Cricetulus griseus: one gene and its partners. The protein of the gene in region 1 binds, or shares a complex with, the protein of each later gene. Links are inferred from orthologs where the notes say so. Each region holds a gene or a part of one and is shown on either strand. Other genes may lie near its edges.

Region 1 (7,016 bases):
TTAGACTCTTTGTTCTAAATTTCACAGCTCTGTTCCCATCCTCAGTGTGACCAGCTCCTCTGAGTCTAAGCGCGGAGGAGTGTGTACCCCAAGACAGTTTGGGAGCTGGAGACCAGGCATGCACACTCACGTTCTCATCCTGTTCCTCGTCACTGTCAAAATCGCTCACAACAGGTTTGGCTTTGCCTCGGTTTGGCCTTTTCTTGCCTTTCCCTGTGTCCCGGCCTTTCTCTTCTTTTTTATTGAGTTTGATTTTCACCTTCACAGATTTGGCTAGAGTAGAAACAAAAGAGACCACGGTGAGAGTTTAAAATCAGTAAAGCTATTATCCCACCCGCAGATAACAAGGTAGACTTCCCAAGAGCCTCACTGGCATGCCAGTCCACCCTGTCTAGTTATTCCCTGTTCCTAGTGCAAGCATGGTTCTCTTTGGAATATAAGTGATGTAGTCACTGGGAGAAAGACCTCAGAGCAGGGTTTGGAACCTTTCCCTGGTTCTTGATGGCTCAACGGGGTAGTGACCAAATTAAAAAAAAAAAAAACACATTAACTATTAACAAATCTTACAAAGGTTAAAAAAGGATGATTCCACTGTGTAAATTGCTCTATTTAGCTTAAAAATTCTAGTAGTTTGAGTAGCATTTTTAATGTAGAAAGAGAACAAAATGGAAATAAAAAATGTCAACATGCTTCCTTTACCTAGCTTTGTGGCTCTCTAGCGATTATCTCCAGAAAAAAAAAAAAAAGCATACTTAATAACCATAAATAAATTCTGTAGGCTATCATACCAAGAATCCAAGTAAGTATAGGTGTGTGTGTGCACACACACAGAGACACATTTGAAGTTTTATTTTGTTATTACATGGCTCTTCAGGCACACCCATTGTCCATGCCTTGCTCTTTCTTTACTTACACACAGGAGTTAGCAATATGTGTTAGCTCACACATATAGCTTAATTCTTTTCAACATCGGAAATATTCCCATGCATGATTTATTCTATGACTGATTTAACCAGTCCCCCAGTGATGGGCACTGCAACAAGCAAAGCCACTGTCAAGCCATGTTGGTAGCAGCCACACAGCACATTCTAAGGCTGCCAAATGCACTTTCAAGAAGACTTCAGCCAGATCGGAGGTTTACAGGCTACAGTGCTAAGGAGTGACAGGTGGCATGCACACCAGGGTTATGCCAACATCCAAAGGCAACGAGGGCAGAGTATTCTCAATGAACCTAGGCAGTCCTGAGCTCTGTGGCTGATGTGCTCAATTTCAACAGCGGAGAAAACTGGGCATGAGCGGGGCAAGTGTTCATGCCTTTAGTACCTGTGGAAATAGCCCGATAGGTGGAAGGGGCCAGATGCAGGGTCTTACCCTCTGACTCAGACTCCTCTTCATCATCTTCCTCCTCCTCTTCATTGCTTTCTTCCTCACTCTCCTCTTCTTTGGCGATTTTCTGCCGAGCACTCTTAAATACTGACTGTAGGACAATGGAGTCTTCATAGATCTAAACGGTCAAAGTGTCAACTGTTAACTATACCCCAAGGCCCGCAGACCCGCAATTGTTGTATGCACCTCCTTAGACAACACACACATACCACACACATGTACCCATGATGTTACTATTGCTTTCTCCCCCTATGTATACAGTGTGTTTGTTCCTATGTGGGTGGCCATGCATGTGGACGTCAGGAATCTTCCTCAGTCACTCTTTAGATTAGTCATGGAGGCAGGATATCTATCTGCTAGAATTACAGGCTAGCCCCTAAACCTACCCACATTCTGGAAATCTAAACTGGTCCTCATACTTAGGCGGCAAATGCTTTAAACATTGAGCACACGCTCCCCCTCTCCCTACCCCCCCCCACCCCGGCATAAAACAGAAAATCTAAATACAGGCACAAAGATACTCCAAGGAAGACCAAACACACTGAGCCAAACTCAAAAGAATGTGTTGGGACCTATGGGTGCAGAAGGCAGTATCTTTGACAACAAAATCAATATTTTAAATCACGCTTATTTAAGCGGTTCTCTTAAATACTGTGGCAAAGGAACCCTTTACAGGGTTGTTCCCTGTTGCCGAGCTTCATTGCAGCCAAAAGTCACCTAATACACTGTGCACCCTCCCCTGCTGAGAGGAAACACCACTGAAAGAAACAGGAAGTCTACCTAAACATAGTCCTTTCCCTCAAAAAATTAAGATAAAACCACCATCGCTTCTGGATATATATACCCAAAATAAGTAGAAACAGAGTCTTGAGGAAATAAATCTCCTCCACATGCCCATGTTCCGGAGAGGCACCGTAGCCAAGAATTCAGAGGGAACTCAAAGATCTGTAGACAGATCAGTGACTAAAGAAAACATGGCAGATGCAGTGACTAGGACTCAGCTTTTGGGAGGAAGTACCTCCTGTTACTTTCTACAACACAAAGGAACCCTAGGAAGCCAGTCACCAAAAGATGGACACCAAGCAATCCCACTCATGTCAAACTCACACAAAGTAGGTGGTTATAGGAACCGGGGTAGGGGAGAACTGCTAAAGGCTTAGGCCTTCGTCATTTCTAAGAGATGAAATACTACCAGAGACCTGTTAAGCACCCATGAGAGCAGCCTTACCACTACTGAACTCCACCCTTAAAAAACAGTTAAGGTGCCAGGGAGTGGTGGCGCAAGCCTTTAATCCCAGCACTCGGGAGGCAGAGGCAGGCAGATCTCTGTTAATTTGAGGCCAGCTTGGTCTCCAGATGGAGTTCCAGGACAGGCTCCAAAGCTACACAGAGAAACCCTGTCTCAAAAAAGAGAAAAAAAAAATGTTAAGGTGGTAAAGTTTATGTTGTCTTCTGACCACCATTCAAGGGCGATGAATAAATAAATGGGCCTTTGCCCTCTGGGATTAAATTCTTTTGCCATGGAGATGACCCACATCGTCAAGGAAGTGGCAGGTCAGCCTGAGGGAAATGGTGATGACAAGCAGGGAACAAGAAGGATAACACTGTGGAATGGGGGAAAAAAATCTGCCAGAGATCTGAGCTGACAAGTTAGGGTGAGGACAAGCTGGCTGCGGGGAGACAAGCATGCACAGGAGAAAGGTGAGAGGCCAAGGTGGAGAGATGGGTGGAGACATCACTGTCAATCCCCAGCTGTGAAAGTGGACTCTGCTAGACAACATGCTACATGCAGGATCTCTGTGTAACTTGACCTGTCCTGCTCCTTCTCTTTTACTGGATATGGGAGCATCAGGCCAGAAAGATAGATAGGGAAAAAAAAAATCAGTTCCCACCAAAGGTAAGTAGAATTGAGTTGTAATTAAAGTGGAAATGTCCTCCTCCTTATGCTCATAAATTCACTGTTATGTACAATGACTTCCTGACTGTGGAGAAGGGAATGTCAAGAATTTTTTTTAAAGTAACAATTAGAGGCACCCCCTATTCTGTTTTAAATCATTGTACTTTGAACTCTTCGTGTAAAGTTAAAGTTAGAAAAATGAAGCTGTCACTGCATACAGTCTCTGTAAGTACACAGATGGTACCCAGCCTTCTAGCATTACCTTCAATGGCTTTCTTGAACTCTTCCTCTAATGGGAAGATGAGCCTTGAAGGAAGTGTGAGAAGAAGCCCACCCAGATATCGCACAAAAAAACCTCCCTTTATTCACACTGACAGTAGAGAACAAGGCCTTTCGGTTTTCAGTGCTCTGCTGGGGTGGAGGCAATGGTTCCAAAAGTAGAAACGAAACGGAAATGCTCCACTTCCGAGAACCTCAGCATGGGTCAGGTTAGACACTTCTCAGACAACTTGACACATACCTGGGATCCCTCCAAGTTGAATGTCTGTGCATTGTGACAGAGAAGCATGACATCTTTCTCCAGGTCACCCAGGCTCCGGTACTTGTGATTACGAATTCTTTCCTGATGGGAATTTTGAACAAAACAGAAGAGAAATATGTAACTGTCCTTATTGTTGAAGAAGGCCCCGATGTCCCTTTGTCTTCACAGCACTCAGCCTTGCTGAGTGCGTGGGACTGCGAGACCCTCCCACCAGTGTTCCGAGGGCTGGGGAGGAAGGTGCACACAAGGGAGAGGCGGGTTCTCAACAACATGCAATGTATATAATCTGAGCTTTCGGTGATCAAATAACATGCATGGAAAGGATCAAGGTCAGCCCATCCCCACCTTTCCTGGGGCAAGCACTTGTGTAGGTCAGTGGTTAGCAACCAGGAGGCCACGACCCCAGCCCCAGCTAGCGTCACTCCCGAGCATCCATGCATCTCCTTTGTTTACTCGAAGAATAACAGTGAACACAGTATCTACCTTTATCTTTTTGAAATCCACTGGCTTCCTAATTAATTCATAGTATTCTGGTAACTCTTTCCTGGAAGGTAACTGAATGAAGACTTCACTGAGCTGTCGCCCTGAACTGCAGGATGGGGGAGACAAACAGAAACAAAGCAGATAAAGCACTCCTCAGGGAAAGGGTCGTTTCAGAGACTGTCAACAAAGCAAAGGAGGTCCCACGGATACAGGCATGGGGGCTCTGCACATGGAGGAAACGCCCACCACTGCATTGGAGGCTGATGCCCATTGGGAGGGCTTCAAATCACATGAACGCTCAGTTAGGTCCCCATTTCTGTCACAGGCACACGATGTGGCAAGGACTCTGTGGACTCCCCTGTCAGGAGGTAATCTCTTTTCATCATGACAGAAATATTTAAAATAACTTATTGAGCCCCAAGTCCCATTTTAAATGAATAACAGAGTTGGTTAAAAGAAAGCACACAGACATGACTCCCACGTTCCTTTGTCTTCAAACTCACTGTGTATTTAGAAAATATGTTAAAATATACAGAGCAATGCAAATGTGAAGCTGTTGTATGCTCTCTCCAGCCCTTCCTGTCTCATTCCTTTTACAGTGTTCTACAAGTCATGAGTCCCTTCTATTATCCCTTGCCCGAGGAGCCCCTTCACGTCCCCTAAATGCACTTATGTGTGTGGAGCAATTTGGCAATTCAGGCGAGAGAGAGAGAGAGAGAGAGAGAGAGAGAGAGAGAGAGAGAGAGAGAGAGAGACAATTGCTAATGCGTGCACGCTGCATGTTTATAGAGTCTGTGCTGTACCCTCCCCCCAAAGAATGGTGGGTTTATTGAAAGCAGGTTTAGGAGAGAAATGCTTTAGCGTTCTGTCACTCGGAAGAGCAGGCTGCAGAGCAACACGGTTTTCACATCACTTAAGGCTGGGAGCAGGCACAGTTAAAGCCACAAAGAAGGATAATTGAGGTTCAAGACCCCAGTGCCTGATTTGGCCTCTCTAAATCAATAACAGCTTATGATAGATGGTCTAGTCATTTTCCACAAAAAATCTCGCTGCCCTTTTGATGGCATCTCTGGTTCCTTTGTGACGCCAGAAACATCAAAAGATAATCATAAACCCCTGGCATGTAAATTTTGGAAGGTGACTGCACCAGTGTTCGGGAACGCTCAGAGGCAGTGGCAAGGCATGAGTGACAATATGCTGTTTTAATCCACAGTCCCAGTTGTATAATTAAAAAATAATCATAATGACAGTTATCATAAAAGAGGCATGCGCAGTAACTCAAGCGGTTGCCTAGCAACCAGTGGGGGAAAAGCTGAAGTGCAAAGGGGCCTGCATAAATTAACCGCCGATAGTCAAAGGATGGGCAAGTTTTTCGGCCATAGAGGGTCACTGTTTTGTTTTATTTTTAATGCATGGAGGGGCCTCATGAATACAACATTGGGGACAAACACAAGAGGTTTAAAAACAAGACTACTGAAGGCTAGGAAATTAGATTCTTGGATTACTGCGGTGAGAACCAAGGTGTTCTCTACCCTTCCATTCCCAGCAGGCTATAGCACAGTTTCTTATGTACAATCAATTCCAACATAGGTCCATATTTTCCTGCTATTTTGGAATGTATAAACTCATAACTCACATTTAACCTGTTTTAAAAAGAATATCTGAATGGCACCAAAAAAAGCCCCGCCCCACCCCACCCGATCCCCCCCACCCCACCCCATCTCTCTGTCTCTCTCTCTAATTCTGAGTGTTTTCTTTAAAATTAACATTCTTCAAAATCTGGCATCAGTCCACACACCAGACCTTCCTGTAGTCCTGGCTTTAATACCTGACCCTCAGTGACATCTTCAATGTCATTTTCTACATCTCCAACAGATGGTATCATTTTTCTATTGACAAATTACAAGCACATCTTTGCTCTGCACGCTGGTGATGGACAGACTCCTGATTTCACCTGTGCGCCTGGGAAGTAAGAATTAAACACCATGGACTAGACCCCAGAATACACTATAACTCTGAGAGCACAAAGCCACAAAGGTCACCTGTGCCTGCCTCCTCTGTCCTGTCAAACCTGCAGGCCCTAGGTCCACTAGGGAGACAAGTCCAGAGTCAGCCATGCTCATAAGAGAACTGAATGTCTCCAGAGTTGGTGTCGGAACTATAAAATGAGAATAAATTTATCTTTTTTTTTTTTTTTACTTAAAAAGTAAAGCCCCTTTGGAGTAGACTCCCCTTCCTGCTTTTTCTGTCCCCCTGCCCCAAAGAGAGAATGAAGCACAAGGATGAAGGGGAAGCCATCCAAGGAAGTTGTCTTCCAGCCACCGAGAGGCTTCTACCTTCCTATACACACCTTTGTCTGGTGACCAAGCCCTCCAGGGTGTGGCCAAATGCCCCAGTTGTTTTACTAACAGCTTCTCTGTCCAGCAGAACAGTCTCTTTCTCTTTGGGAAAATCCCTGTGTGTGTGTGTGTGTGTGTGTGTGTGTGTGTGTGTGAGAGAGAGAGAGAGAGAGAGAGAGAGAGAGAGAGAGAGAGAGAGAGAGAGAGAGGAGAGAGAGAGAGAGAGAGAGAGAGAGAGAGAGAGAGAGAGAGAGAGAGAGAGAGAGAAGAGAGAGAGAGAGAGAAGAGAGAGAGAGAGAGAGAGACTGGTTTCTTGTATCTGGTGCTAGAGGCGGTGAGATAGAATCCACTCCAAAGCCCGAGGACACCC
Region 2 (7,514 bases), on another chromosome or scaffold:
CTTACCCTCGGCGCTGGGCAGGCATTGGGGGCTGGGCCTGAGGCACAAGCAGGCGTTTTCGGAATGGATCCATCATGGTAGGTGGCATGCCAGGTCGAAGCGGAGCAGCTGTGCCAAACGGGGAGCCAGCTGGAGGTCCCACCTGCAAGCCAGCCATGGGCATCCTGCTTCCTGGTGACATGCCAGGTCGCTGGGTAAAGTGGAACAGTGGGGGTGCACAGGTCAGTGGCAAAGCCCTACGAGGTCCATAGCCCATACCCTCCATCTCTCTCGAGCATGGGGAGACCTGCTGGAGACCAGGAACAAAGGGGAACAGGCGCCTGAGCCCAGCGTGTAAACCACACCTGCCCCGCCCCTGCAACCGCCCTGGCAGGCAGTGCCAACAAATGAGGCAGCCAGAGTCCATGGGTGGGAGGGGAGCACCACTTGCAGAAAGAAGGGCCTGGGGAATTTTTTAGGACTTATCACCCCTTCCCAGCTTCAATATGCCATGTCCTGCACCCTGGGGTGAGCCAGCTTTGAGCAATTTATTGTCTTTAGATGGGCCACTATATACTCCCTATTCCTTTCCCCATCCTGAAGAAAAAACATTACTTGGGTGATTAGGGGCAATGCATAGCAACCCAAGGGAGTACAGGAGTTATAACAGTCTGATGGGGTATGCATGTCTAGTGGCATGACTGGGGAAGAAAGGCAGTCAGTGGGGTGGCAAGCCATCAGGCAGCAGCACCCCAGGTGAGCAAGGACAATAGGATGGCTTGGCCATGTCACAGCTTGTGGAGATGGCCTCAGGAGAGTGCAGACACCATCTGGCCACCATATGGCCTCCACATAGCCGGGACCTGTCCTTCCCCCACCCTTCTCTCTCACACTCTTCCCTGCCACCATGCCCCTACCTATGTCAAAGGACTCCCAAAAGGGAAGTTATGGTTCTTGGGAGCCTGTGGGAATGAGAGCAGCAGACATCTGGATTCTGCCCATGGTCTAGGCACCACCTGGCAGCCAGGCTGCTGCTGGTTCAACTTAACCCTAGACATCCCAAGCTGCAGAATAAGACTGACCTGGGATGCAAGGGCTTAATAAGGGTCAACAGCAACAAGTAGCTTCTTGGTTTCTCATCCAAGGCCCTGTTCCCCAACATTTCTGGGAGCCCTCCACCTCCCAACTCCATTCACATGGCTGCTGCCTGAAAGGCCTGTTTGGCAGCTCTGCCTTGCACAGACTGTCCCTGGCAGCTTCACAGGGCTGGCCCCAGGGCCCAGGTTATGCAATCAATCAGTACAACCAGACAACCAGGCCAGCCTGGGTGGAGATTCACACCAAGTTAAAGGAGACCCCCCTCTCAGCATCCTGGAGATGAGTCTCTGCAATTTCTTTATCCAGCACTAAACCCATGTTCTCAACCACAGAAGGTCAGATTCATGACCAGTAGCAGAGACGGAGGGAAAGAAACATGACCCAGAGACAAGGAGCAGGGTGACAGGGAGGCATGTGGCAATTGAGGAGTTAAAAGTGGGAGACCCTGGGACCTCGGGAGTCCTGCCACAAGTCTCTCCTCATCAGGAAGAAATTCATCAAAGCTGTTGAAAGGCAAAAGCAGCCTGTTTCTCTGCCCTAATAAGCCAGAGCCAGAAATTAAAGGGGGGGGGAGGGTAGACAACAACTCAGGGTTGCCACAGCTGTAAGACCCTCCACCATCATCCAAGACTTCAGGTTTTCCTAGGGTAATTGCAGCTATAAGCTGGGGTGTTCAGTGCCCCCAAGCTCTTCACTGAAGTTCATAAAGCCTGTTCTACTGCTGAGCCCTCCAGGAAATCCCAAGTCGAAGCAGCCCAGGCAGGCCTGGAATAGGCCCCACCCAGACATCTGCTCCAGACTTCTGGGGCTCAGGCTCCAGGCCCCCAGCTCACCCAGAACCTCAGGGGAAGGCTGCTCACAATTCAAGTCCCAGTTCCCCCTGGCCAAGCTCCACACCTGAGCTTTGAAGAGCCAGAAACTCCTCCTTAAAAACTCAGGTTAGAAAACAAAACAAAGTCACAGCCATAGCCACAGCTTCACAGCCTCTGCCTGCTTGTCCTACCACAGGGGTAGGTGGGCCTGGTTCAGTCCCCTGGACCCCAAAATGCAGTAACTGCTTCTACTTGGCCAAACACCCCACACTCTAGACTTGATTCTGTAACCACCAAGGAGACAATGGAGAAGGCTAGGCCTGACTCTGCCATCTCTGGGTAGGAATCTAGGGCTCAAGTAAGCATGTTCTGCTCTGACCTAAAGCCTGTAGCTCTGGTCCTCAGATGGCTGCCTGGGCCTAAGAGCCTCATTTGGAGAACATACCCTGACCCTATGAACAGAAAGTATTCTAAACTCTGAGCTGAGTGAACTCAGCAATAATGCACAGTAGGTCTCTTTGTTTTGTTTTTAATTATGGTGTTAAGCCCTTCAGCTGACTGTACTCCAAGACTAGATAGAATAACCCTCTAGAGGTAGGTAGCTGGGCCATTACTTTTGTTTCAACAAGCTCCCCAATATGCCCAGCTTGAGCATGCAAATCCTCGCTCACCCCCAAGGGCTCTAACCAGGAGGAGCCCCTTTGTCTTCAGACCCCAAGCCCTTTTGAAGTTAGGTACCTGGACATGAAAAGAAGCAAGCAGTTTCTCCTTCAAAGTCAACCAGTGTTAACTGGATTCTCTTTACCCCACCTTTTCCTCTGCCCTTCCCCAGAGAAAGAAGAGGAGGGGAAGAAATGAGAAAGAAGAAGGTGGTGATGTCAACCTGGTTGGTATGGGATGTCCAGACTTAAGGCCATCTTCTTTCTCACACCTAGTAGCCACAGGTATTCAGCTGGCCAGCTTGGCCTCAACATAGACCCCAAGGCGCTACTCTTTACAAAATATGGAGGAATCCATCTTCCTATCCTCACAGGGGCTTTCCCAAGAGCAGATTTTCTATCAGCTGCATGCCAAAGAAACTGGTCTACATAGTGAGTTGGGGCAGCCAGGACTACACAGAAAGTCAGACAAAAAAAAAAAAAGCAAAGAGACAGATCTCCTCAGTGCCTATAGGAAGCTTCCAGATCAGTTCCAAGCAAACAGGGCCAAAGGCTACTAAAATCACTGACATCAGTGATACACTAGGCCCATGAATCTCCAAAGAAAGCAACATGGGAAAGATAAACCCCAACTAGTATCCTTGGGACCAAGTCTATCTCTGTTCATAGCCAAATTCTTCATTTTCTTTTGAGAGAGGAGAAATGAAGAGTTGGGGGGGGTCACTATCCCCACCCCCACTCCCAGTTAGGTACCTCCTTAGAAATCTGATTCCTGGTAGAATATGCACTCCATGAGGATCTATTTCTGAGGCCTCTACTCTACCTACAGACACCAGCAGAGGACAGAGCAAACTATAGTGCACACCTTCAGACATTAGTAACAAGGAAGCTGTGGCTCACAGGCTGAGATACCTATGGTCTTGTCAAGAACCCGGAGAACAAGTAAAAGCAAAGAGGTTGGGTGTGGTGGTGCATGGCTGTAATCCCAGCACGTGAGAGGCAGGAGGAGTTCAAGGCCAGCTTTTTTGGCTACACAGCCAGCCTGGGCTACATGAGACCCTGTATCAAAAAAAAAAAAAAAAAAAAAGGGGCAAGGATACTGGGAAAGGATGAACACAATCCCCAGGCACTCTGGGAAATGGGGTGCAGCTCTCTGATATAGCAATTGTCTGCCATGTGCAAAGCCTTGCCTGGGTTCCATGCTCAGCACCAAACTGCATTAAGTAAAACATAAAATCCTCAAAACATCCTGGAGCAACTTGCACCAGAGCATTGGGGAAGGAGCCCCACATGCCGGGTCAGGCTGAGTTCACAATGCACTGACCACAGAGTCGCACCCCCGTTCCTCAACGGGCCTTTGAAGCTGCAACCTGAGACTGACTGCTCTTTTTCCAGCTAGAAGGCTCAGGGCAGTGCCCTCTGAAGCAGCCGATGCTGCTGCAGACTCCTGCAGCCCCCGCCTAGCAGTATTCCACAAAGCCTCTCTGCTCCTCCAAACGTAACTACTGGACGCTGGCACTAAATGGAAAGCCCATGCTAGACCGTATCTGGACTAGTCTGTTACTGGGACTGGGCCTTCTTCAGACCTGGCCGCCGCTGCCACTAATCTAACCTGGAGCCATCTGGGCCCCCTCTCCTTAGTCCCCCCCATGGCGTAGGAAGCCAGGCTTCCTTCCCCCTCAACTAGCAGCTGGGAGCCATCTCAGACACTAACGCTCTGCCAGTTCCCAACTAGGGAAAAAAAAAAAGCCAAGGCAGAGTTGCAGTGGGACCGAGGCCAACGAAAGGATAACCCTGTTTTCTCTTCCAAAATTTTCTCACGTCTCGGGTCACCCCCGGACCCCGACTCCGGGACCTGCTTTAGACTCTTTCAACCCGATTGCACACAATTCTCCAGATCCCACGGAGCCTACATCTCTCAGTTACTCAGAAGCCGTGAGCCGCGGAGCCCCGGGACTCTTGTAACTGCTCGAGCGCTCCACCGGAGAGCCGCGCTCACCCTTTCCCCGACCCTGCCTGCCCCTCTCTCTCTAGCCGAGGGACCCCGGCCTGGCGCGCCACCAGCTCGCGGCAGTTCCTCCTGCAGCGTCCCCGGAGCCGCCCGTCCAGGGACGACTCCTGCCCGCCCTCACCTGCGGCCCCGGGGAGACCCAGCAGGCGCCCTCGCGGCGGCGCCCGCCCGCCCGCCCGCCCGCCTCACCTGGTACTGCGCCGCGGGGCCCGCGGGGCCCATGGGGCGGAAGGCGGCGGCCGCCGGGACCCCCATGCCTCCAGAAGGCCCCGGGCCTCTGAGCGCCGGGTTGGGCAGCATGCCGGGTCCCGCAGGCGGAGGAGGTGCACCCAGTGCCGCGGCAACGGCGCCGCCGCCGGGGCTTAGCGGGGGCAACGGGAACCCGCCCGCGCCACGGCCCGACATCGCTCTGTCCCGTCCCGCGGTGCAGCGATCCGGCCTCCGGGCTCTGTGTGGAGTCCGCTCCGCGAGCTGCGTTCCGCGATCCGGGACTTCGCGATTTTACTGCCGGGTTCCGGGGTTTTCTATTCCAAGTTCGCAAGTTCTTCACAGACCGACCCGCTTTAGGACCCGCGGCCCCACTGACTCCGCTCCTGCCGGGGAGACTCCAGATCCGGGATGTGCCGCAAGCCCGCCGGCCTCTCCCGGCCCCCGGAGGTTTCGCCGCCCGAGTCCAGTTACCCAGAGGCGGTTACGCGCTCCCGGCCCCGCCCAACCCGGGCCTGCGCCCGGCCCCGCCCCTTCCCAGCAGCCCAATCGAGACTATCTCTTCAAATCCCGCCCCTCGCGAGACCCGCCTCAAGCAGGCACCGCCCATAACTGACGGCCACAGAGCCCCGCCCTTTGGGACCGCCTCTTCCCGGAGGAGCCGGAGCGGAAGCTGCACGCGGAAGCGCTGGGAAAGGCGCGGGGTCAGAGCTCAAAGGTCACCGTCCTAGGTCCTCCGCGGTTAGGTGCTGGCCGCTCGCTCCTCAAGTGCGGCTCCCTCCGCGAGGTGCCGGGGGGGGGCACGCCTCCAAAACTGTCCTTCCGGGTCAGCCCTAAAGCCAGGCGACGGCCGCCGCTCACCCAGAGCCCTCGCCGGCGCCCGAGGGTGGGAGCCGGTGGGATAGGGCGCTGTCTGCCGTCGCCAGCACCCCGCCCCACACACACCCCAAGAAACCGCCAGGGACATGCGTGACTCCAGACGTGACCCCGCTGGGTAAAAGTTTGACTTGGCCCGGTGCGGAGGTTTTGTTTTGTTTGTTTTCCGAGACAAGCGTCTTGAGTGACAGCCCAGGCTGTGCAACTCCCCTTGTAGACCAGACTGGCTGTGACGCGCCGCAGTCTCCCTGCCCCTGCCTACCAAATGCCGAATCACAGGCGCGCACCGCCACCGTCGGCCCACAGAAAGTGAGTTTAGGTGAAGGAGTTTTGCATGCCGAGAAAACTCCAGGCAGTGAAGCAAGTTTTCTCCAGTTCATAGAGGACTTAGTTTTGAAGAGTTCCTGGCCTTTCCAGAAACCACTGGTTTCGGCTACGGAATGGACCGCCTACCCTCAGCTAATGTGGGATCTCCTCCCCACAGTACAGAATCGGTGCTGCTTAACTTTAATGAGCACTGAAAAATCCTCAGATTTGGGTTGGGGGATGTAGCTCAGGTTTAGAGTGCACTTGCCAAGCATGCATTAAGCCCTGGACTTGAACCCCGGACTAGATAAACAGTGCACGGTGGTGCATGCCGGTAATCCCATTACACATGAAGGAGTGGCAGGAGGGCCAGAAGTTCAGGGTCGTTCTCAACTGCATCACCAGTTGGGACTAGAGTTACAGGAGACCCTGTATCAAAAGAAAAGTCAAAATGTGAACCTTCTTGTTAAAATGTGGTTTGTGATTCAGTGAAGTGGGGTCAGGGCCTAAGATTCTTTATTTCTAGCAAGGTCCTTTTTAAAGAATTGCTGTTATTGTATGTGTGAGAGTGTTAGCAGGGTGTATGTGTACCGCCTGCTAGCCTGGTGCCTGTAGAGGATGTCAGAGCCCCTGCAGCCGGAGTTGCAGATGGTTGTGAGCCAGCCACCTTGTGGATGCTGGGAACCAAACGCCAGGAGCAGGAGCAGCCAGCGAGCACTCTTATTGGCCACCGCCTTGTTTTCATTCCCAACGCATTGCTTCCTTTATACTCTTCAGATCTTTTTTTTTTTCTTTTTTGAGATTAGAGTATCACTGTATAGCCTTCGATAGCCTGGGACTCCCTATGTAGACCAGGCTGGACTTTTTTTTTTTTTAAGATTTATTTATTATGTACACAGTGTTCTACACGACAGAAGAGGTAACCAGATCTCATCACTGATGGTTGTGAGCCACCATGTTGTTGCTGGGAATTGAACTCAGGCCCTCTGGAAAAGCAGGCAGTGCTTTTAACCTCTGAGCCATCTCTCCAGCCCCAGGCTGGACTCTTTAACTCGAAGAAATCATCTTCCAAGTGCTGGGATTAAAGGCCCGGATTCTAGTACACCCATCTCTCTTCCTATCTTTTTCTCTAGTGATAAACTCTGCTGCAGATCCTGCCTCTTGGCCATCTGAGACACTGCCTCCTTTCTCCCCAGAAGCTGTCAGTCTGGGAACAGGCCACTAAAATCATTAGTCACTGAATCATGGTTTCTCCCACGCCTGCAAGGTAGAAAGCTAGTGTCCATTTCTGCCCTTTTGTAACTGCAATAACTCTCCACGAAGAGCAAGGCGTGGTGGAGAATCAAGCTCCTCTGGGAAATTATTCCAAAGGATCCCTGCCAGCTTGCCCTTCATTCCAGAACAGTCTTTAAATGTAAAACACCAAGAGTACTGATACAGCACCCTCGGTAGAAAACTACCTCTGTGGGAAAGGCAGGTTAGGGTTATAAGTCCCAGGCCAGCTTGAGCTCTACAGCTAAACATTACTTTAAAAATGAGCCAGGAGTTGGTGGCGCCTGCCTTTGA
Region 3 (7,704 bases), on another chromosome or scaffold:
GTCTCACACTAATGTGTAAAAGCCTCCACACTTTGGACCCTTGACAGTCCTAAAAAGTAGAGGCACCCAATAAACACTCAAGGATATGACCATTGGGATTGTGTACACCAGGCCACAGTTGAAGATGGCTGGGATGTGGGGAGGGTTCCTTTTTCCTTTCAAGTCACATAAAGCAATTGCTCTGTTTGCTTGCAAGGTTAGTTCTCTCTGCAGATGGATGGGAATTGCATTTTGAGGGCTGTTACCATGCCTGGTTTGTTTGTTTATTTATCCATTTGTTTGGTTTGTCAAGACATGGTTTTTCTGGGTGTAGCTTTGCCTATCCTGAAACTTGCTCTGTAGACCGACAAGAGTGACATCAAACTCAGAGATCCACCTGTAGGATTAAAGGTGTGTGCCACCACTGCCTGGCTTTGCTGGCCACAGTTTAATGTTTCGCTTTCTTCAAAGGAAGTTTACTTCAGCTTAGTGCTTAGAACATACCAGAGCTCGTTGTGGATACCAGGAAACCGCTTACTGAGGTCACGGCTGCCTGTGCTGTGGATGAATGGAGAGATGGAAGGGGAACCTGCTCTTGCTTTTGATATAATCCTTCTAGTTCCCAGAGCCCTGGAGGAGCTTCGATCATTGAGGATGGCTTTTGCAGCACCTTTAGTTTGTTTTGGATGAGGGATGCTTCTTAGGACTGAGCCTAGGGCCTTGTGCATGCTAAGCAATCACTGTAGCACTTAGCTGTTTCCCTAATACTACTCTTACTTTGTCAAGGATTTATTTATTTGATTTATTTATTTTTATTTTATGTGTGTGGATGTTTTGCCTGCATATTATGTCTCTGTGCCTTGTGCAGTACCTATGGAAGTCATGGATACATGCATGTTTGTGTACCATGTGCATGTCTTGTGCCTGAATTGTTCAGGAGAGGGCATCAGATCCCCCTTGGAACTGTTGTTACATGGTGTATATCACTAAGTAGTTGCTGGGAGAAACAACATGTGCTCTCAACTACTAAACCCTCTCTAGTCCCTGAAATGTAACTAAAAAAATGTTTTGACATCACAATTAGTAAGAAGGGTTTTGGGTCTATGGAGCTATATCATGGAATTATTGATGTCATTGTTGTTCATTTGCTCTAATCAATGAGTTTCAGAAGTGGATAGTTATTGCTACATTCTATTGTCATCTTATTGGGATTCCCTATATTCTTTATGCCACCAGCTGACAAGTGATGGGCAGACAGGTGGATTTCACAGCCTATATTACTACTGTACAGCACAGCTAAAGACTAGACTTTAATTCTGGTCAAGTTTTTTTTAAGCGTGTTCACTCCAAGTCCCTTGTTTCTGAAGGTTCTGGCCCAAATCTGTGTCTTTTTTTATCTATGATACAAAAACCAAAGTTAGTAACATATCTTTTATTTCTCACAAGTAAAAAAAGTGACTATAACCAGGCAGTGGTGGTACATGCTTTTAATCCCAGTGCTAACCAGGCAGAGGCAGGCAGATCTCTGAGTTTGAGGCCAGCATTGTCTCCAGAGTTTCAGGACAGCTAAGGCTACAGAGAGAAACCCTGTGTCAAAATAAATAAATAAATAAATAATAAAAATAAAAAAAAGGACTCTAAAGTCAGACTTGAGGACTATAAAGTCAGACTTGTATTGACAGTTAAAATGACATTCCATCAAGCACAAAAAACAAGGCAATGCTATTTTTTTGGGGGCAGAGCCTTGAGACTGGGTTTCCTTATGTAGTCCAGGCTGGTTATGAACTTCAAGGAAGCGCCATCATGCCTGGCTCTCTCTATGTAGTTCATCAAAACCAGCTTTCGATACAGGAGACCCTGTAATGAGAGAAGGGGGTGGGGGAAAACAACACCCTACTAGGCAAACAAAGAGTTAAATATTTCCAGTCTGCACACACACGTACTCACTCAGCTTTGCTGGGCTTATCTGTAACTCTAATAGTGAATGGAGTTGGAATCTGAAAGTTCTGGACTGCTTTGTAGTTGTATTTTACTTTATTCATTGAGGGCAGTAAAAGGAAAAAGCAGGTGGAATTATGAACCAGCAGTTCAGCATCTCTCATTTTTTTTTCTTTTCGCCCCCCCCCCCCCGCCTCGCCATCCATTTGGCCGTATTAAACAGCTATGGGTCGGTAGCCAGGCTTCTACATGCTAACGACGCCTCTAAGTGCTTTCGCTCACTCTGAGCCTCCCTCCCTGTTCTCCGTGGAAGCCTGAGTTCGCAGAAGTCTCTCAGTTTCTTCAAGTGTTCGCCAGATTCTGAGCAGCAACAGACTCGGGAAGCCTCGAGTCACGTCGCAACATTGGCTTGAGAATTCTTTTTGCGTCCTATATTAGTCCAGAAAGGTGACGCCGGTATCCGCAGCGCCGTTCCCCGAGGGAACTCCAGCAACACCCACCTCAGGCTCTAACAATTTTGCTTCCTTAGCTGCGTTTGCTAAAGTTGCCTCAAATCTTCCCTATCCTTTTGCCAAAAGAGCGCCAGGTCTCCCTTTGCTCTCCAGCTGGCCCGTGTCAGATCATTGTGAATCGCTGACAGCGGAGAACGGTGTGGTCGTAGGGGACAGCGCAGAGTGACCACCCCTGAATTACGTAACAAAAAACCGTAGCAGCAGCAGAGGGCGAGCCTGACGCTGAGACATTCCAGGGGGAAGGGAGTTGCTGTCCTGGACTAGCCAGTTCCCAGAAACCGACAGGGGAAGGTGGCTGAGATAAAGAAAACACTTCGGGGACAAGAATATTCAACAGCCTCAGAACCTACAGCATTATTAACAATCGGTGAAACACGAGTAGCAATTTCTTGCAGGGAATTGCAGCCTTCCAACTTTTGCACTGAAATACGGGAGGTGTACCCGGAGCGGGGGTGGGGTGGGGAGGTAAAGACGGTGATATATGAAGTCCAAAGCTAATGAATGGGATTTAATGGTTTTGATGGCCCTATGTAAATATTCCTGCTCAGGAGCGCAAACTCTCTGCAGTTATTTAGTAAAGTAGGGGCTCAAACTAAGAGAGAATTCTCTCCCATGTGTGTCCACTAGCCCCAATCAGCAAGGGCGCTACTAACACTGTACTGCCCCTTTAAGACCTGCTCGCTCTCGGGCTCTACAAAAGGGAGTGACCTCTGGGCTTTGACAGCTCCCCTAATAACTACCACCACGTAGGCCCCGCCTACCTGGCGACCAGCCGCGGCGATTGGCCTGCAGGCCGGTATCCCGTGCTCTGATTGGCCTGCCGCTTCCCCTGAGCGAACCTTTAGAACTCTGAGACAGACAATATTCTGTTACATTGTAGCAAAATGGCGACTGTCATTCACAACCCCCTGAAAGCGTAAGTAAGACTAAAAAATGTACATATTCCGCGTGGTTTCAATATGAAAAAAAGGCGCCTTGCGGAGCGCAGCCGGCGCCCGGCTCTTGCAGACGCCTCCCGCTGCGCCCGGGCTCCTCTTTTCTTCTGCTCTTACTTCTTCATCTTTTTTTTTTTTTTTTCCTCCCAGCGCGCAGAAATGTCAGGAGATGCAATTAACAAAAAGAAAATTGTTACATCTGTGTTCTGCTTAATTGACTGACCCGGACCGGGAGGGAGCCCGGAGCGGCGGCGGCGGCTCCGGAGCTGCGGGGGTCTAGAGCAGCTCGGGCTGCACGGTCCCCGGAGTCCTCTGCCTCTCCCGGCACCTCGCGGGGCTGGCCGAGCCCGGTCGGAGCGCGGGGCAGGGGCCGCGTCGTGCGCTCCGCTGAGCCCTGAGCTTCAAGCCCGAGGCTTCCCAGCTCCGCGGCTCGTCGGTCCGCCCGGGCGGGCTGATCAACCGCTGCAGCTGCGGAGTTTGCTGGGCGTTCGCTCTGCCTTCCGAGCTCTCGCAGGGAGTTTGTGCAAACCTTCCGGAGTTGGGAGGACAGCGCGCGGAGCGGCGGGTCTCGGGAGTCCTGGGGCCCAGGTGCTAGCCCCGGGCTTTTCCACTCGAGCAGCCGGGGGATCAGGGAGGCGCTCCGGGCGGTCACCGGTGTGTCTGCGTATTTGTGGGCGAACTGGCGGTAGTAAATTAACGACCTGGATTAACTTGGGGGTTGATGTGGAGGCAGGGAAGCTGCAGGTCTTATGAATGGTGTGTTTGCCTGCTTTGGGTGAAAAGCCGAGGTAGGCGGAGGCGGTTCGGGGCTCTGGCGACAACGAGGGGCAGGTGCCTCCGGGAGACTTTGAGCGGACAGAGGGGGGCGGGCTGCGCGAGGATTCGCGGGGGCCGGTCCCCGGTCGGAGCTGCCTGCCTGCCTGCCTGCCTTCCTTCCTTCCTTCCTTCCTTCCTTCCTTCCTTCCTTCCTTCCTTCCTCCCTCCTTCCTCCCTTCCCTTCCTTCCTTCCCTTCCTTCCCTTTCTTCCTTCCCTTCCCTCCAGTCGGTGAACTGTGAATGTGAAGCCGCCAAGTCCGCGAGCGATCGTGGAGCCGCGGGTGGCCTCGGAAAACTAGTGTGGCTCTCAAGGGGCGCTATTGGCAGGGATGTTGGCAGAGGGTGGATCCCTGGGAATTGCTGCGCGGTGTGGGCTCCGGTCGGTGCCGGTTGTACTAGGACTTCCCCGCCCGGTGAAAGCCTCTGGGAGTAGGAGGGTGCGCGTGGGTGTTTCGTGCCAATTCTTCCCAATTTGTGGCGGTGGTCGACCCTGGCTCTTTTAACTGCCTGCTACAGCGTCCTAACCCGTGGAGTCAAAAACACGGTTCGCTTTGGAGAGCAGCAAGGCAGTGCGGGGGGGATTCCTAGTGCCAAGAAACGCCTAGGGAGAACCCGCTGCGTTTGCACCAGCTAGCAACCAGGAATAGGGCAGGGATGTCCCAGATCTCGGAGTTTCCACGAGATAATGCGGTAAAGAAGACACTGGAGGCTGAGCCTGATGCGAGTTCCTGGCTCCAGTTCTCGCTCGGAAGCTCAGCTACTTTGCACTCGCGACAGCATTTCACCTAAGAGAGAAAATGTTTTATGGCAGAATAAATGGGCGTAACTTCGCCGCGTCCTCGCCGACTCGCGCCGCCACACCGCTGATGCCAGGAGTTTCTCCAGAACCCACACAGCTGATTTGCAATTTCCTCATTTCCAGCCGAAATCACGTAGTCGAGCTGATGCTGCTTGGTAAACTGAAGTCTGAGAGTTCTATTTACTATGTGTATGGGGTTCCTTATTGGGAAAGCGGTCTCCTTGATGCCCGGGAGCGGGCTTACGCTCGGGCGCGCGCAGGAGCTCCACGCTCCAGGGTTCCCCAGATCGTTTCACTTTTTTTTTTTTTTTTTTTTTGACATAGAAGCCTGCGAGTGTAGGGGTAATGGGGGAAGGGACAGAGCAGCAAGAAGGTGGCCAATCTCGGTAGTGAAATTAGTTCTGAATTACACGTGTACTCCTTAATAATTGGAAACACCGTGGGATGCATTTGTAACTCCGTCTTGGCACACACACGTACACGGGAGCTCACACACATCACCACTGCCTGCCTTTCCTAGGAAGGAGTCAAGCCGTCACTTTGTAATTATCCGCCCCCTTTTGCATCCCATCCTCTCCCCCAACCCCTAGGGCTAAGGGTGTAAACAATAACCCCAACGGCCAAGGGTTTTGCAGCCTGGATATTTTAAAAACTCCGCACGCAGGAGCACACGCGTCGTTACTGGGAGACCGACGTCATCTGCTTCTATTATTATTATTATTATTTTTAAAAACTTGTTTAATAAAACATCTTGTATATTTCATTTGTTTTTAGAAGTTGCTGTTCAGGAAACAAAACACACGTGAATAAATTATGCATGGGCTAAATTAGAACAAAGCGCAGCGACACAGCAAGCCGAAGGGATGGATGGGGGCGCAGGGAGGAGGAGCAATGAGAATGGTTTGGAGAGCTTATGTGTTTATCCTTGTGTGCCCCTCCTGACAATGAACCGGAGCTCCAAACCGCATTAGCATTTTCTCCGTGTGCGTGCAGTCTCTCTCGTCTTAAAAAGGCAACACCACGGACGCCCCCTACAGAAACTGGTCACACAAAGATTTCCTCTTGGACTGCGGGATAAGTAGCAGTAGTTAGGGTATGGGGAAAAGCCAGCTCAGGTTTCTTTCATGCAATCTTGTGCAGGGCTCTGCCTTCTTAGACTATGGGTTACTTTTCATCTTGCTAGCCTTTTTTTTTTTTTTTTTTTTTTTTTTTTCCCATGTGGGGCATTCAATAATTCAATTCACTGGGTGACTGGATGGTTAACTTGAATGTCTTTGCTTTGCATAGGGTGGGGGTGGGGGTGGGGGTGGGGGTGGGGGTGGGGGTGTCTTCTGTAGGGTTCCAAGCGCCTGAAAACAGCCTTTCTTGGTAGTTTGCCTTTCTTCCTGGCTATCTTTAATCTCCCCTCAACTCCCCTTGTTGCTTTCACCCTTTCCTCTCTGAAGCTGACAGTCTGGCTTCTCCGTTGTAGCCTTTAACTTCTTGTTACTGCCCAACAGGGTGTGTTAGAGGCAGAAAGAGGAGCTGCCTGGACAGATTAGATCAGAAAGGAGACTCGGCAGGTGGCCCTACAACAAAGTGGTCACATCTGGACAAATATAATTCAAAAGCACGGATGGACATGTGTGGTGTGTAAATGTGTGTTGTGTGCTGTTTAAATTAGCAGCTACATTGTCTGAGTGCAGATTGTTGGAGTCATCCTCAATTTCTGTATACAGAGGTAAGGGCCACAGACGGATTTGAAAAAGGCATGTGTGTGTGAGAGTTACTATTGTATACTTGTTGATTTCTGTATACTTAGGAAATAAATGCTTAAATTAAAAAAAATACTTATTTTAGCTGGGCATGGTGGCACATGCCTTTAATTCCAGCACTTGGAAGCCAGAGGCAGGCAGGTCTCAGTGAGTTCGTGTCCAGACTAGCTACATAGTGAGTTCCAGGACATCCAGAGCTACATAGAGAGAACCTGTTAAAAAATTACTATTTTATGTGTGTATATTTTGATCTGGTGAGGTACTGTTACAAGTGCAAGTGTGTGTGTGTGTGTGTGTGTGTGTATGTATGTGTGTGTTGTCAGAGGACAACTTTGGAGTCATTTCTACTTCTATGAGTTGTGAGGATTGAACTCAGCTCAGACTTGGAAGCAAGCAAGGTTACTTGCTGAGCTATCTCTCCTTTCCTTATAATACTTTTTTTGTAAGTTCTAACCTTAATATTCTAGTTTAGGTAAATCACCTTCCCCCATGTCTGCCAACAGCACTTTAGACAGAGCAATCTCTCAGTGACTTCTCGAAACTCTGGCCATAAGCACTTAAACTGGGAATGCCTGCCACCTTCTGCCAGACTTGATCATGTACATATGTATCTATTTTTATAACTCCAAGCTCAGAGAGGAATAAATGCTATCATTACTTAATTACTCTAGTTAGGGCTTTAATACTTTAATTATTTGATTTTAAACAATGAGAAAAGCAAACTACTTAGTCATGTTTGTCACTATGATTCCATGTACACAGTTGCATCAAAACTTTACTTTGTAAAGAGTTACCCTAGCTTGGAGGTCAGTGCTGTTATTTATGCTTTATTATTAAGGACATAACTCTGAGAGAAGTAAATGTTTACTTAGTCGAGATCCAACATGGCTCATGTGTATAGATGGACCCCAAGTTTTCATCTTCCTATCTGTTCTCTGATGTGGATGATGTGTGTTCTAATCTAAAGTGGG
Region 4 (7,002 bases), on another chromosome or scaffold:
AGAGGAAGGTTATGAATAAGAGTTTTGCTGAGTTGAGTCCTGTGTGTTTGTATCCTAACCACAGCATGTAGCACAGAAAATAAGCCGAAGTGACCTGGGAGTCATTTTCCCTCAGCCTCACTGGAACACTTTCTGACAGAACATTAGTAAGTTAGAATGTCCCGTAAGTTACTAGAAATACCCATGTATGATTCACTTAAAAACACATGCTTTTGTGCATGGCCAGCGATTATGGCTTTATTCAGCAAGGAATCCTTCCAAGGACAGCCTCAGTAGGCTGCTGCTGTGTGGTTTTGTATTTGGTTTTTGTTTGTTTGTTTTTTTAAATGTATAGCTTTGTAAACTAAAGATTTCAGTTACTGCTTAATAATTGAAACCAAACAAACTCCAAAGATGACATTTCAGAAACAGCCTGCAGGAGCCAGTGTGTGTCACTGTCTTAGAGGTACCTACTATTGGGAGTGGCAGCTGTCCAGGGCTGAGAAAGCTGTTAAACAAGGAGTCTGTTTGATCATGCGTTATAAAATAGAGAATATTGAAACAGACGTGTAATACAGGCTGGAAATGAAGAACTATCCATATCATCACTGATGTAGTGAATGAATCATATAGATTAATAGTTAATAGTACTCCAGGGAGCCGCATATGCAAAATAAACATTTTATAATCTGTAAACATTTTTAATTACTAAAAATGTTTCAGGTATTTCAAAGATAGGAACAGCCAATATATAGATATTATATATTAATGTGAACGTGATTATTCAAAGTTAACCTCTCTATGAAAAGTATTAATGAGCCAAGATGTGCCTAATTATTAGGGTACTTCAAGTTGACACTCACAGACAACACACACACACACACACACCCCTTTAAAATAAGGGCGTTAAGAAACATGATAATGTATGTGATTTAATAAGATGGACTAGTGCTTGCCCTTTTCTTGTAGGTCAGTCTTGCTTAGGTTACATTAACCTGAAATTAAAGTGTAATTGTTAGGCTTCAGGCCTACACATATATAATTAAAATCTATACTATGTTAGTTTCAACTTATTTTGCTATTTTTCAAGAGAAGTAAGTATACATGAGCCTTTTATTTGAGATGCTGAGGGCTGTTGGCTGAAGAAAACTAAAAGGTTGTTGCAATTGTTTGAAGGAGGTCAGAGGGTTTCAAAGAGGCACAGGGCCTTCACCCATGATCTTCAAGAGACTTTTGCACCTTCTTTCTCTCCTTCAGTGTTGGTCTTCAGTTTGTCTGTGAGGCCCTGTGGTTTGTTAGAGCCTGCGTACTGACAAGAACAATGCGCTTTTGTATGTTGGACTGTAGTCACGGTAGAAAATGCTACAGTACCGTATCTCTTTCTCCCTCTTCTGCTGTAGTCTCTCCTCCGTCACTTTTCTTTCTTCCTCATCCTTCTTCCCCTCTCCCATTCTTTCTGTTTTTTGAATATTTTTCTTCTCAACAAGATGAAGATTATTGGGTAAGAAACAATTTTAAATGGTTTAACAGGAAATTATGTATAATTTTAAAGGTAAACCCTGAGTTTTCTTAGTGTCTTTTATTATAGGCATTGTGTGTATTTTAGTGACTGTAGAACTTGAATTGCTCTAGGATGTGAATAACTAGGTTTGTGTTTTATTCCTTTTGAGTTGCTGTGTAAAGAGTCTCCTGTGAGGAATTCTCTCTCCAAAATTTAATACTGTGTAGTTTCTTCCCTGACTTTAGTGAAAGACACTGGAGTACTTACTATGCCAGTGTCTAAGGGAACTCTAAGCATTAAGTAAGTTTATCTTTTACATTTAGTACAGGTTATTGAAAGTTCTTCCTGCATATTATGGCTGTTAAGATTCAGTCTTTGAAGTGAACTTCCTAGCTATTTTTCACTGAGAACCTGGACACAGTGAAGCCATGTGCTTAGGGTGCAGCAAGAGTAGCTGAGTAACAGCTGCTGTCAGATGCCGGGAGAGCAGGGTATAAAATACACAGAGGATGGAGAGCAGTCAATGGGGACATTTTATATGTTTGTTTAACTCCATGATATTTATTATTTTGTAGAGACATTTGTGATTGTTTAGATATTGTTTTTATCATATTTATGTATAAGGTTGACTTTTTTAAAAAAATAAATAAGCCAAAAATTGTTTTTGAATGCCTCTGTCATCTTTTGCAAAGAAAATATTTTTAAAAAAGTAAAAGCAAATTATTATTTAGGTTTGACAAGGTACGAAAGTGGCAGTGGAACATTTAAAGTGAGACTGCTTTATAAAAGTTTGAGTTTAGATCTCTATGGTGCATCAGGAAAGAGATGCAATGCGTTTGACTGTGTTAGATTATTGCCCTGCTACCATCTTTGTCCCTCCCACCTTTTAACCATTTATTGACGCACACCTATATATAGTACATGTGAGCAGCGTCCGTGACGGTCAAGATTATGATGCTCTGTTATCCCTTCCTTGCCCTGGCATTGTAAGTGTAGGAAACTCCTTATATTTTATCCCATTCCATGTTTAAAGCCCAAATACTGTGTGTGTTTTTAATGTGAAAGATAATACTCAAAATATGCTTTGTATATTTCCTATTTGACTATAGTTTTTCCATGCCCAAAAACTTTTTATGTTTTACACGTCACAGTGACTGCTTCTCTCTTTTATCATAGTTCTTTTTAGACATGGAACAAGACTATGCATCCAACTCAGATTTCTATAGACATTTATGCATGACAATGTATGGACAAGACAGCTTCCAATTAAAATACTGAAATAGTGTCTTTTTTTTTTTTAGCTTAGATTTTGTAGGCTTAGCTCTATCACTGGAAAAACACCAGTTTTTGAAATAAAATGAACATAAGCTTAATATAAGCTTAAAACTTAGGCTTAGCTTTATGTGTGGTTATTTGGTATATGGATTTTCTTTCCCAACTATTAGTGGCATTTGACATCCTATTTCATTTTTCCTTCTGGTCTTTTTTTATAGAGATGATGCTGTGTGTGTAGGGAGCAGAGTGCTACATTTAGGCAACACACGTTGATGCGGTTTATGGAGTACAGTCTAGGCTTTCATTAGTTGGGGGTTTTATATTCTGATCCATCTCATATCCAGTTATGTCTTACAAAAAGGTTTTCATTATCAGATTACCAAAAGTAAAGATAAGGTAATAACAGAATCCCTTTTGAACCCATAGTGAGTTCTTCTGGCATGAATTTATAGCCCTCTTCTACCCTTCCAGCCAAAGGTCATTCCAAATGCTCTATGTGGAATTTGTCTGAAGGGTAAGGAATCCAACAAGAAAGGAAAGGCTGAATCACTTATACACTGCTCCCAGTGTGATAACAGTGGTAAGTAGAGATGTCTCCTTAAGATTTTACCTCACCCCTGCATATTGCCTTAAAAGCTAGGGTTTGTAGTTATCAGCTAGGTATCCACCAAAGAGTCAGCAAATGAATAGTGACTTGTTAGCTGTAGTCAGAACCCATGTATCTGCTACTTTGTATTTTGATGTGTCTATGGTAACATTAATCCTGGCAGCCATTCTTGGGAACTAATGTTTTATGTGCCTTAAGTTGAAAGTTCTGTTGTGAAATCCTATTAATGTTGGTTTTGATTTAGGCCACCCTTCTTGCTTGGATATGACCATGGAGCTTGTTTCTATAATTAAGACCTACCCATGGCAGTGTATGGAATGTAAGACATGCATTATATGTGGACAGCCCCACCATGAAGAAGAAATGATGTTCTGTGATGTGTGTGACAGAGGTTATCATACTTTTTGTGTGGGCCTTGGTGCTATTCCATCAGGTAAAGATGAAAAAAATACAAAAAAGCCCATTATCTTGTGTGATGAAGATCTCCCAGCATTCTTTTAAGGCTGTATAAATGACATGAACATGTTCCAATTATGATCAAGCTGTTACTGTCCATGTCACAGCTACCTGATTTTCATCCTTAGTGCAACCAAAGGAGAATTGAAATAGAATACTTAGGTTAGGTTTGGAAGTATTGTCTGAGGGATAGAATGAGCTGGTGTTTTCTACTAAAATTGCTAAAGTAACACCACCAGTTTGTTTCAATGCTTTCATTTTATTTTTAAGTTCGTCTATTTAGAAACTTAACAAAGTGACTGCTATGCCTTTATATATATACTAAGACATCTTCCTATAAAGTGAGGCAGCATGACAATTCCAGAAAACTTTAGGATGGACACAGAATCAAATAGTAAATCACAGTAATCCTATTGAAACATTATACAGGTAATTGTGCAATTTTAAGGACTTAAGTTGCATAGTTAACACTGTATAGTTCTCTATAAAACTCAGTTTCCTGGAATCCCTCCGTAAGGATGTGAATAATCACTCAGGTTCTGCAGTAATTCAGCTCAAGTGTGTGGTGCAGGTGCTAGTGTCAGAACAGTGGAACAGGCCACACAAAGCCAGATCCATTAACAAGTTCTACATTAGGATTGTGTTGTTGAGGTTTTAAAAGCATGATGGTATTTGAATTTTAGGATTACATATTTTTTTAAGGTACAAATGATTGTTTTGTGCCCTTTCCCCATCTTGTCTGTGCATTGAATTCCGAATTGTATTGGTTACACTGATTAAGGGTTGTTTACATTTTCTCCCTTGGCTTAAGGAGCTCAGTACTTCCCTCCCCACTGAAAAAAATCCCAGAGAGTTATCACTATGGACAGCTCAGGAATGAGTTTAGGTGGTTTGTACTCAGTCCTATAAAAATAAAATTCCACTCCATATTAACTAACAATTTTTCTCCTAGGTCGCTGGATTTGTGACTGTTGTCAGCGAGCTCCCCCAACACCCAGGAAAGTGGGCAGAAGGGGAAAAAACAGCAAAGAGGGATAAAATAGGTTTTTGACCTGACCCTCAGTTTGGGATATCTGGTGCCATTTTATTTACACTTTCATTTTTATGCCAATAAAGAACCTTTTTTGAAATTAACTATGACCTTAAACATCTTCAAGTTGATTTATTTCATTAGTAGCAACTCATACCCTTGAAAGAAAAAGTCAGAGAGAAATGTCTCATTTCCCAGATTTTAATCTCTTAGTGCTGTCTTTTTCCAGAGATCAGCAGAAAGAGGTAGCAACTTAATTTGAAATATTTCTTCTTGAGTCTGAAAAGTTACAGTCTTTTGAGACTGTCTTGACCTGCTTAGGTAGTATCAGTTACTTAATAACCAGAGCACTCCAATCTGGCCAACAGAGGAAAGGACAGAGGGCCCAACCATCTGGTACAACTGGATTTGGAATAGTCACCAGCTGGCACAGCAACAATGTGTAAATGCTTGCCTGCCAGGAGAGTATCAGGTTCCACAATCCCTACTGTGCACAGTGGCTCTGGGAAGCTTTTCCGACCTGGCTTTAGAACCTCTTTAAAACTGCAAGTGCCGTACTCCATTTAGTATGTCTACAGAATACATTCTACAGTCACCAGCCTTTATCTGAGTTATACAGCCTGTTACTGCAATAATCTTCTTACTCACCTGACTAACCAAAATGTATTTAAACATTTTATTGAGCAGACTCCTTTTTATGGGAATTTTAATCTCTAAAATAATTGTGCTTGCTGCTTTTCCTGCGTGGGGAGTAAACTGAGGTAACAAAACTGTATGGCTTTATTTTTCCATCCTAGTCTAGAAAAAAAGTAACCAGAATTTCACCAGGTCAAGTAGCAAGGTCCACAGCAAACTAGTCGCTCCGTGCAGATAAGGATTCAGAAGAGAATTTCAAGCACCAGTTTCAAAATGCTAATCAATATCGTCCAGAGGACCGACTCCTCTTCTTGGGCTGCCTCCTCTGGCGCATAAGCTTGGTTCTGACTGGCTCCTGTGGGGTCAGCAGGATAGGCAGCCTCTCCGAATGGGTACTGGTCCACAGTTCTGTCAGAGTACACCCTCATCTCAAAGTCGCTTTCATGGTGTGACGGGTGTCCGTAAATTCCTATCCCCACCGGGCGCTGGAAGTGCGCGGGTATAGAGACCACGTCCTGGCCGCAGGTGGCCGACTGCAGCTCGTACTCGTCGAAGCTCGGGTGCAGAGTGCTGTCGGACACGTACAGGTCCGCATCCCCCCTGAGGCTCTGCATCCGGAGAATGATTTTACCCTCGTGGTTCAACCGCAAGTAGCTGTAATTCCCGGCTCCGATCTGGCCCTGGACCACGTGCAGAAGGAGCCACTCGTGCGGGACGTCGTCCTCTTCCAGGCCTTCTACCAGGGTCAGCACCCGGGACGCCAGGAGCACCCACAGGGCGCACCTCCAGGGAGCGGCCATGCCTCAGACTCTCAGCTCGGGGCCTCCCTCATCTGCGGCGGCCGCGCTGGGGAGGCACGGGCGGCAGGCTGGGCCGGAGGTGCTCGCCCAGGCCGACCGGGACGTGTGCAGCTGGGTCCCGGGAACCGACGACAGTGGGGAAGGGGAAGGGGATGGACAGCGAGCAGGGCTGAGGAGGGGAGCGGCCAGAGGGGCGGGAGGGCAGGCCCCTGAGGGCGCAGGCGTCCGGAACGGCGAAGCTGCGGACCCAGGACTCACCGCCACGCCACGCCCCGCCCGCAAGCCACGCAGCACCCGCAGCATCCGGGCTCAGCCTGGAACTCGCCCCGGCAGGCGGAAGAGAAGCGGCGCCCGGAAGTGTACCCCGGAAACGAGGGGCTTGCTTTTGGGAACGGACTCCGGCCTAGTGACCGGAAGCAGATCGGCGCCGAGCTCTCGCGAGAGGAGAGAAGGGCTGCGTAGCGTTCAGGGTCCGCTTCCTCGTAACCATGGTAACTCGGCGGCGGCTCGAGCTGCGGGTTCCGGAGCAGACGGGCGGGCAGGACAGCAGGTGAGGCCGCCAGGGGGCGCTCGCCGAGCCCAGGCCCGCGACCTTGCCTGCAGCCCAAGCCCCTTAGGGACTTAGAAGCCCCGTGGGTCCGGACGCAGGCAGCAGCATCTGGGGAGATACTCCGGGATTTGTCTTAAACCATGACGGAAAGAGGAAACATTTAAATTT

Evidence for each region.
Region 2: probable global transcription activator SNF2L2 (region 1) and Smarcd2 share a complex: the UniProt entries of both Homo sapiens proteins name them as parts of the BAF complex. The link is inferred for Cricetulus griseus from reciprocal best matches to the Homo sapiens genes SMARCA2 and SMARCD2.
Region 3: probable global transcription activator SNF2L2 (region 1) and Dpf3 share a complex: the UniProt entries of both Homo sapiens proteins name them as parts of the BAF complex. The link is inferred for Cricetulus griseus from reciprocal best matches to the Homo sapiens genes SMARCA2 and DPF3.
Region 4: probable global transcription activator SNF2L2 (region 1) and Phf10 share a complex: the UniProt entries of both Homo sapiens proteins name them as parts of the neural progenitors-specific chromatin remodeling complex. The link is inferred for Cricetulus griseus from reciprocal best matches to the Homo sapiens genes SMARCA2 and PHF10.

Annotation. Positions count from the first base shown.
Region 1 is NC_048596.1:34,602,445-34,609,460, forward strand, and holds part of probable global transcription activator SNF2L2, read right to left. Parts: intron 4,414-7,016; coding exon 4,308-4,413; intron 3,906-4,307; coding exon 3,804-3,905; intron 1,505-3,803; coding exon 1,324-1,504; intron 274-1,323; coding exon 131-273; intron 1-130. UniProt on the Homo sapiens protein: ATPase involved in transcriptional activation and repression of select genes by chromatin remodeling (alteration of DNA-nucleosome topology).
Region 2 is NC_048600.1:119,217,024-119,224,537, forward strand, and holds the start of Smarcd2 (SWI/SNF-related matrix-associated actin-dependent regulator of chromatin subfamily D member 2), read right to left. Parts: upstream 4,965-7,514; coding exon 4,749-4,964; intron 191-4,748; coding exon 6-190; intron 1-5. UniProt on the Homo sapiens protein: Involved in transcriptional activation and repression of select genes by chromatin remodeling (alteration of DNA-nucleosome topology).
Region 3 is NC_048598.1:120,233,664-120,241,367, forward strand, and holds the start of Dpf3 (zinc finger protein DPF3), read left to right. Parts: upstream 1-3,244; 5' UTR 3,245-3,313; coding exon 3,314-3,345; intron 3,346-7,704. UniProt on the Homo sapiens protein: Belongs to the neuron-specific chromatin remodeling complex (nBAF complex).
Region 4 is NC_048595.1:293,990,094-293,997,095, reverse strand, and holds the end of Phf10 (PHD finger protein 10), read left to right. Parts: intron 1-3,226; coding exon 3,227-3,335; intron 3,336-3,606; coding exon 3,607-3,795; intron 3,796-4,057; exon of another isoform or gene 4,058-4,770; coding exon 4,771-4,856; 3' UTR 4,857-4,965; downstream 4,966-7,002. Other genes in the region: C2H6orf120 (UPF0669 protein C6orf120 homolog), read right to left, coding at 5,727-6,284. UniProt on the Homo sapiens protein: Involved in transcription activity regulation by chromatin remodeling. Belongs to the neural progenitors-specific chromatin remodeling complex (npBAF complex) and is required for the proliferation of neural progenitors.